Saccharomyces cerevisiae S288C: one gene and its partner. Each later gene encodes a partner of the first gene's protein in a complex. Each region holds a gene or a part of one and is shown on either strand. Other genes may lie near its edges. A codon is read from its position in the direction of its gene.

The links. Proteins that work in one complex are often made in the same cells at the same time.
Region 2: the proteins of CBF5 (region 1) and GAR1 are in contact, whole or in part, in a crystal structure (PDB 3U28), measured with the Saccharomyces cerevisiae proteins. Residues at the interface, in NP_013276.1 of Saccharomyces cerevisiae: His130 (codon at 2,367), Asn145 (codon at 2,412), Leu146 (codon at 2,415), Thr147 (codon at 2,418), Ala149 (codon at 2,424), Leu150 (codon at 2,427), Phe151 (codon at 2,430), Arg153 (codon at 2,436), Arg162 (codon at 2,463), Leu164 (codon at 2,469), Val166 (codon at 2,475), Thr198 (codon at 2,571), His202 (codon at 2,583), Gly204 (codon at 2,589), Met205 (codon at 2,592), Leu206 (codon at 2,595), Leu207 (codon at 2,598), Gly208 (codon at 2,601), Val209 (codon at 2,604), Gly210 (codon at 2,607); in NP_011957.1 of Saccharomyces cerevisiae: His45 (codon at 1,044), Pro46 (codon at 1,041), Cys47 (codon at 1,038), Glu48 (codon at 1,035), Val52 (codon at 1,023), Ile60 (codon at 999), Phe63 (codon at 990), Glu80 (codon at 939), Ile81 (codon at 936), Leu82 (codon at 933), Gly83 (codon at 930), Pro84 (codon at 927), Leu85 (codon at 924), Glu87 (codon at 918), Val88 (codon at 915), Phe89 (codon at 912), Thr91 (codon at 906), Ile119 (codon at 822), Phe122 (codon at 813), Leu123 (codon at 810).

Annotation. Positions count from the first base shown.
Region 1 is NC_001144.5:504,155-508,143, forward strand, and holds CBF5 (pseudouridine synthase CBF5), read left to right. Parts: upstream 1-1,979; coding exon 1,980-3,431; downstream 3,432-3,989. Other genes in the region: TAG1 (Tag1p), read left to right, coding at 1-93; isocitrate dehydrogenase (NADP(+)) IDP2, read left to right, coding at 437-1,675; RFX1 (Rfx1p), read right to left, coding at 3,643-3,989. UniProt on the Saccharomyces cerevisiae protein: Catalytic subunit of H/ACA small nucleolar ribonucleoprotein (H/ACA snoRNP) complex, which catalyzes pseudouridylation of rRNA. This involves the isomerization of uridine such that the ribose is subsequently attached to C5, instead of the normal N1.
Region 2 is NC_001140.6:282,123-285,235, forward strand, and holds GAR1 (H/ACA snoRNP pseudouridylase subunit GAR1), read right to left. Parts: upstream 1,177-3,113; coding exon 559-1,176; downstream 1-558. Other genes in the region: rRNA-binding ribosome biosynthesis protein RPF1, read left to right, coding at 1-260; histone acetyltransferase YNG2, read right to left, coding at 1,655-2,503; arginine--tRNA ligase MSR1, read right to left, coding at 2,717-3,113. UniProt on the Saccharomyces cerevisiae protein: Non-catalytic component of the H/ACA small nucleolar ribonucleoprotein (H/ACA snoRNP), which catalyzes pseudouridylation of rRNA and is required for ribosome biogenesis.

The DNA of each region.
Region 1 (3,989 bases):
TTTAATGCGACGATAGATGCGTCACTTACGACGGCATTGGGCCCGTGGGTTCTCACCGGGTTAGCCGGAGAGGGTGACACTTTGGTCACGTGAACGTCTATCTATTTATTTTTATAACTCCGGGATGTCATTGCCGGTGGTCCGAAAATCGGCAAATAAGGAAATAAGGGAAGAATATGCAGTAGTCAAATCATCAGTGTTCTCTTTGATACCTTTCAGGGCTAGGAATAGTGGGGGTGGAGTATAATATCAAAAACCGGACTTAACATTATTGGTTCGGTTGGAATTGGCTATAGGCAAACTAGTCTCCGGCATGATATATAAATGACAGCCTGCAATTGTATGTTACTACACTCTTGACTTGTCGACTACAGTCGCTGCTCAGGCACGAGAATAGGAGGTAAGAAGGTAACGTACGTATATATATAAAATCGTAATGACAAAGATTAAGGTAGCTAACCCCATTGTGGAAATGGACGGCGATGAGCAAACAAGAATAATCTGGCATTTAATCAGGGACAAGTTAGTCTTGCCCTATCTTGACGTTGATTTGAAGTACTACGATCTTTCCGTGGAGTATCGTGACCAGACTAATGATCAAGTAACTGTGGATTCTGCCACCGCGACTTTAAAGTATGGAGTAGCTGTCAAATGCGCGACTATTACACCCGATGAGGCAAGGGTCGAGGAATTTCATTTGAAAAAGATGTGGAAATCTCCAAATGGTACTATTAGAAACATTTTGGGTGGTACAGTGTTCAGAGAACCTATTATTATCCCTAGAATTCCAAGGCTAGTTCCTCAATGGGAGAAGCCCATCATCATTGGGAGACACGCATTCGGCGATCAGTACAAAGCTACCGATGTAATAGTCCCTGAAGAAGGCGAGTTGAGGCTTGTTTATAAATCCAAGAGCGGAACTCATGATGTAGATCTGAAGGTATTTGACTACCCAGAACATGGTGGGGTTGCCATGATGATGTACAACACTACAGATTCGATCGAAGGGTTTGCGAAGGCCTCCTTTGAATTGGCCATTGAAAGGAAGTTACCATTATATTCCACTACTAAGAATACTATTTTGAAGAAGTATGATGGTAAATTCAAAGATGTTTTCGAAGCCATGTATGCTAGAAGTTATAAAGAGAAGTTTGAATCCCTTGGCATCTGGTACGAGCACCGTTTAATTGATGATATGGTGGCCCAAATGTTGAAATCTAAAGGTGGATACATAATTGCCATGAAAAATTACGACGGTGACGTAGAATCAGATATTGTTGCACAAGGATTTGGCTCCTTGGGGTTAATGACATCTGTGTTGATTACCCCGGACGGTAAAACCTTTGAAAGCGAAGCCGCCCACGGTACAGTAACAAGACATTTTAGACAGCATCAGCAAGGAAAGGAGACGTCAACAAATTCCATTGCATCAATTTTCGCGTGGACTAGAGGTATTATTCAAAGGGGTAAACTTGATAATACTCCAGATGTAGTTAAGTTCGGCCAAATATTGGAAAGCGCTACGGTAAATACAGTGCAAGAAGATGGAATCATGACTAAAGATTTGGCGCTCATTCTCGGTAAGTCTGAAAGATCCGCTTATGTCACTACCGAGGAGTTCATTGACGCGGTGGAATCTAGATTGAAAAAAGAGTTCGAGGCAGCTGCATTGTAAACTTACTCAATGACAGATTGATTTATTTATATTATATATTCCCTTTTTATCGAAAAACTTTTAGTATTTTCTACTCGTAACATATGATCTTCTGTTCTCACTGAAAATTTTTCTTTCTTCTTTTCCCTCTTCGCAAAAAGAAAATGCTGAAAAAATTTGAAAAATTTTCAAATGATGAGATGTTTAGCTTAGGAAAAATATAATGTAAAGATAGTTTTCAGAACATTTTTTATTGGTTTTTTTTTTTAAAGATTCATTATCATCTGGAGTTCGTTACAACCTACACAGAGGACCGATATACACAATGTCAAAGGAGGATTTCGTTATTAAGCCTGAAGCTGCAGGTGCTTCCACTGACACTAGTGAATGGCCATTACTTTTGAAGAATTTTGATAAGTTATTAGTCAGAAGTGGTCATTATACCCCTATCCCAGCTGGTAGTTCACCACTAAAGAGAGACCTGAAATCATATATCAGCTCTGGTGTCATTAATCTAGATAAACCTTCCAACCCATCATCGCACGAAGTTGTAGCTTGGATCAAAAGAATCTTACGTTGTGAGAAGACTGGTCACTCTGGTACATTGGATCCAAAAGTTACAGGTTGTTTGATTGTTTGTATTGACAGAGCTACCAGGTTGGTTAAGTCTCAACAAGGTGCTGGTAAGGAGTATGTGTGTATTGTCAGATTGCATGATGCTTTGAAGGATGAAAAGGATTTGGGCCGCTCACTAGAAAACTTGACCGGTGCGCTTTTCCAAAGACCTCCTTTAATCTCTGCTGTTAAGAGACAATTACGTGTTCGTACTATCTATGAGTCAAACTTGATTGAGTTCGATAACAAGAGAAACTTAGGTGTTTTCTGGGCTTCCTGTGAAGCTGGTACTTATATGCGTACTTTGTGTGTTCATTTAGGTATGCTATTAGGTGTTGGTGGTCACATGCAAGAATTGCGTCGTGTTAGATCCGGTGCTCTGTCTGAAAATGACAACATGGTCACTTTACATGATGTTATGGATGCCCAATGGGTTTACGACAATACAAGAGATGAATCTTACTTGAGATCCATTATTCAACCTTTAGAAACTCTATTGGTTGGTTACAAGAGAATTGTAGTGAAGGATTCTGCTGTCAATGCAGTATGTTATGGTGCAAAGTTGATGATCCCTGGTTTATTGCGTTACGAAGAAGGTATTGAGTTATATGACGAAATTGTCTTGATAACTACCAAGGGTGAAGCCATTGCCGTTGCCATCGCACAAATGTCAACCGTTGACTTAGCTTCCTGTGATCATGGTGTTGTTGCTAGTGTGAAGAGATGTATCATGGAAAGAGATTTATACCCAAGAAGATGGGGTTTGGGTCCAGTCGCACAAAAGAAGAAGCAAATGAAGGCAGACGGCAAATTGGATAAATACGGCCGTGTTAACGAAAACACCCCAGAACAATGGAAAAAAGAATATGTTCCATTAGACAATGCTGAACAGTCAACTTCTAGCTCTCAGGAAACTAAGGAAACTGAAGAAGAGCCTAAGAAAGCTAAAGAAGATTCTTTAATCAAAGAAGTCGAAACTGAGAAGGAAGAAGTGAAAGAGGATGACAGCAAAAAGGAAAAGAAAGAGAAGAAGGACAAGAAGGAAAAGAAGGAAAAGAAAGAAAAGAAGGACAAGAAGGAAAAGAAAGAGAAAAAGGAGAAGAAAAGAAAGTCTGAAGACGGTGATTCTGAGGAAAAGAAATCTAAGAAATCTAAGAAATGATTCTCATCACTCCATCTCATCCTATATATTTAACAGCTTTCTTTTTTTCAAAAAACTTTTTCTATTATTAGATTAGATTTTTTTTAGTGTGTATATTAATAACGTAAAATTTCTTTATCAACGACTTGTAGTATTCTTTTACTTTTATTTTTTTTACATATGCAACGTTATATTCTTTTTTAAATATCCCCATATACTAATGATAGAACTTTTAAACTTTTAGGCCATTGACGAATTTCATGACTTCAAAACAGTAGTTCAGCAATTGGCCCATGACATTATTTAGAAACAACCATGATAGCAAATTCTCATTTGATTTTAAGCTAATATCGCCGATTATTGCATTCCTGAATCTTGTGCTGCAATCAATTAATTTCAAGCACGAAAATTTGCTTTGTAGGGAAATAAAGGAACAAAAATCTTTAATCATTTCATTTAAGGACTTGCATTCGATAGACACAGAGGGATCATTGCTAACGCTCATAGAGGAATTTAAGAACTTTGTTACGAAAACTTGACAGAACCCTTGTAAATGTTGCATTATTGTGTTTGTCTCTG
Region 2 (3,113 bases), on another chromosome or scaffold:
TAGGTAGGTTGTTTCAGTCCATTTTACCTCAGAATCCTGATATTGAAGGTCGACAAGTTATCACCCTACATAATCAAAGAGATTACATTTTCTTCAGAAGGCATCGGTATGTCTTCAAAGATAATGAAAGGGTTGGTTTGCAAGAACTGGGTCCACAATTTACCCTCAAGTTGAAAAGATTGCAAAGGGGTATTAAGGAAGAAACTGAATGGGAGCATAAACCTGAGATGGACAAAGAAAAGAAAAAGTTTTATTTATAGTGTTCCATTCGTAAACTTTGTATGGATATAATATTAAGACAACCGTAAGAACCGTGGTCGTTTGTTTAACTACGGCGGCTTCTGGTATTACTGAATTTCTCTTTTTTTCATTTTAAATCAATTTATTACAGGTAAATCAATCAAACAAATATATATATATATAGTATACAGAACAAACGGTAATTTCTTTTTTTTTTTTTCGACGTTAGACGTGCTTCGGCAGATATAGTAAGTTGGAAGAAATGAAGAATTGTGAAAGATAAAGGATGGTTTTTTTTTTTATTTTTTTCTAGCTAGATTATCTTCTACCTCCTCTGAAACCACCACGAGATCCGCCACGAGATCCTCCTCTAAATGATCCGCCACGAGATCCACCTCTGAAAGAACTGCCACCACGGCCTCCTCTGAAAGAACTACCACCACGGCCTCCTCTGAAACCTCCTCTGCTACCACCGCGACCCATTGAAGCACCACCACGGCCACCTGGGGCACCACTTCTCTTCTTCTTGTTTTTTGGTTTTGGTGGGCCTACCACCTTAGGCTTAGGTAAAAATCTTTCAATAGGCAATAGTTTGTCAGCGGCAATGTAGAATTTATCACCTTCTTTAAAACTGGTTGCTTGGACACCGTCACCACACTTGATAGTGAAAAATACTTCGTTTAATGGACCCAATATTTCGTCAACTTTACCGACTTGAGTCTTGTTTTCCAAATATATTGGCGCATTGAAATATGGAATCTTAGTGTTGATAGAACGGCAAACAATATCACCCTCACATGGATGTAGAAAAGCTCCCATTTCTAGAACAGTGTCTGGTGGTCCTTGTTGAAATGATCTAGCACTGCCTGTACGTCCACCACGAAAGCCGCCACGGAAGCCGCCACGGCCACCTCTATTACCTCCTCTGAAACTCATTATTTTCTTTTGGTTAAAAATTATCCTCAGGTGATCTTTTGGTAGAAGAGAGCAATCAGATACTCTATCGAAAAGGTGCTCACGTTATAAGGCTAACAAATTAATTTTTTCTTCCTTTCCTCATCTCGAAAAATTTTTCACTACAAAAAATTCCGACGTCAAAGTTTGAAAAAAAGACCATCTGATCACGTGACACCTTTTTCCTGCTCATAAGTTTTAAAAACCGTATGACACATATGCTAATGAAATTAAAATATATAGTATATACCTGAATATGCAGGAATCATATCTTAGTTTGATTCACAAGTATTTGAAAGTACATTCAAAAATGTCAATCGTATATGTCCTTGCTAGCTGATGTCTCGAAATTACTTCTCCTTTTCGAAAAGCACATTGTCAGAATAGCAATCACCGTTTCTGGCTTATGGAATATTATTAGTGTAAATGAGGTCATTCAGTCTCAAAAAGGTATTTTTGTTCAGTTACGTTTTCTTTTCAGTTTGTTTTTTTCCATCTCAATTTTACATTCGGGACAGTACCATGTTCCTTTCGGAGGTTCTTTTAAATTTACACAATCATAATGAAACCATTCATATTTACAGTTGGGTCCATCACATGCAACCATTTCTCCAAACGAAACTCTTTGACAGAAGCAGTATAAAGTTTTGTCCTCTTCCTCGTTTTCAGGGGAACCGTTTTGGCCTTTACCATTTCTACTGTTTTTGAATTCTTTTGTTCTTGCAATCTTCTTTTCAATGCTTGGGCTCACTGGAGTAACAGACTTTTCTCTTGAAGAAACGTCAATTTCATTTTGCAGTTTAGATGTTCGACTAGTTTTTTTCTTTTTCAAAGTGGGTGGAACGGATCCTGAGCTTGATGCAGCTCTTCTCTTTTTCACGCTACTGTTACTCACAACTGAACTTTCTCTAGAGGCTTCAGCAGCGCTATCCATGTCTCCATCTTCTTCCACGGGGGCTAGAACACCATCTTCCTCCAATAAAGCGATGTTTTTTTCCAACTTATTCAAGTGTCTAGCAATTAGAAACAAGGCAGTGTTCGCCAGAACGCATTTTTCTCTTTGCAAAGACTGACATTTCAAAAGTGATTCTTTTATTTCTTTGTCAAGCCCATCTTCCTGTGGATGTTTCGGTATTGAGCCTTGCTGTCTTATAAATTTGTGTATTTGTGATTCTTTTTGCTCGTATTTCTTTTTTTCTTCGATGAGCTTCAAATCATTTGAACCGATCTCCTCTAAGAGGTAACGAAATTCTGATGGGAGGTTGGACACATCTTGTATCGTTTGCTCTAAAACTAAACTTGGATCCATCTTCTATTGGTTATGTTGTCCAATATAAACTTGCATATCCTTCTTCTTTGTTTCTATTTCAACTAACGGTAGGTGGGTTATTCAAGAATCAATTAAAGGAAAATCGGAAAATATCACGTTGTACGTAACAATAAACTTTCTTCTATTTACATGTTTATAAATTGGTTAAACTTAATCTAAATTAATCTAGCATTTGCTAGCTTATTCATATAATTACATTCTATCAACCGGGACTAGTCCCAAAAGCGACATTGCATTGTGTAACACTTGTCTACTTGCTGAATATACGGCGAGTCGCGGTATGGCAATATCTGCAGGTTTTCCGGAAACCCATATTTTTTTATAGCACGAGGAGACCTGATGGCAAACTTTGAATAAATATGTTACAATCGTGGCCGGCTCTTGAGTTTCGAATGCTCGTCTAAGGACATCTGGATACTGCGCTAGCAACCTCACAAGCTCAACTAGTTGTGGTTCATTTAAATTTGAAAAATCTGCGTGTATTAGCATGTCCGTCGTAAAGTCGCTGGAGGTCCTTTCTAAAGATCTAAGTCTGGAATGTGTGTATTGTAAATAGGGCCCTGTGTCACCTTCGAAAGACAACATTCTG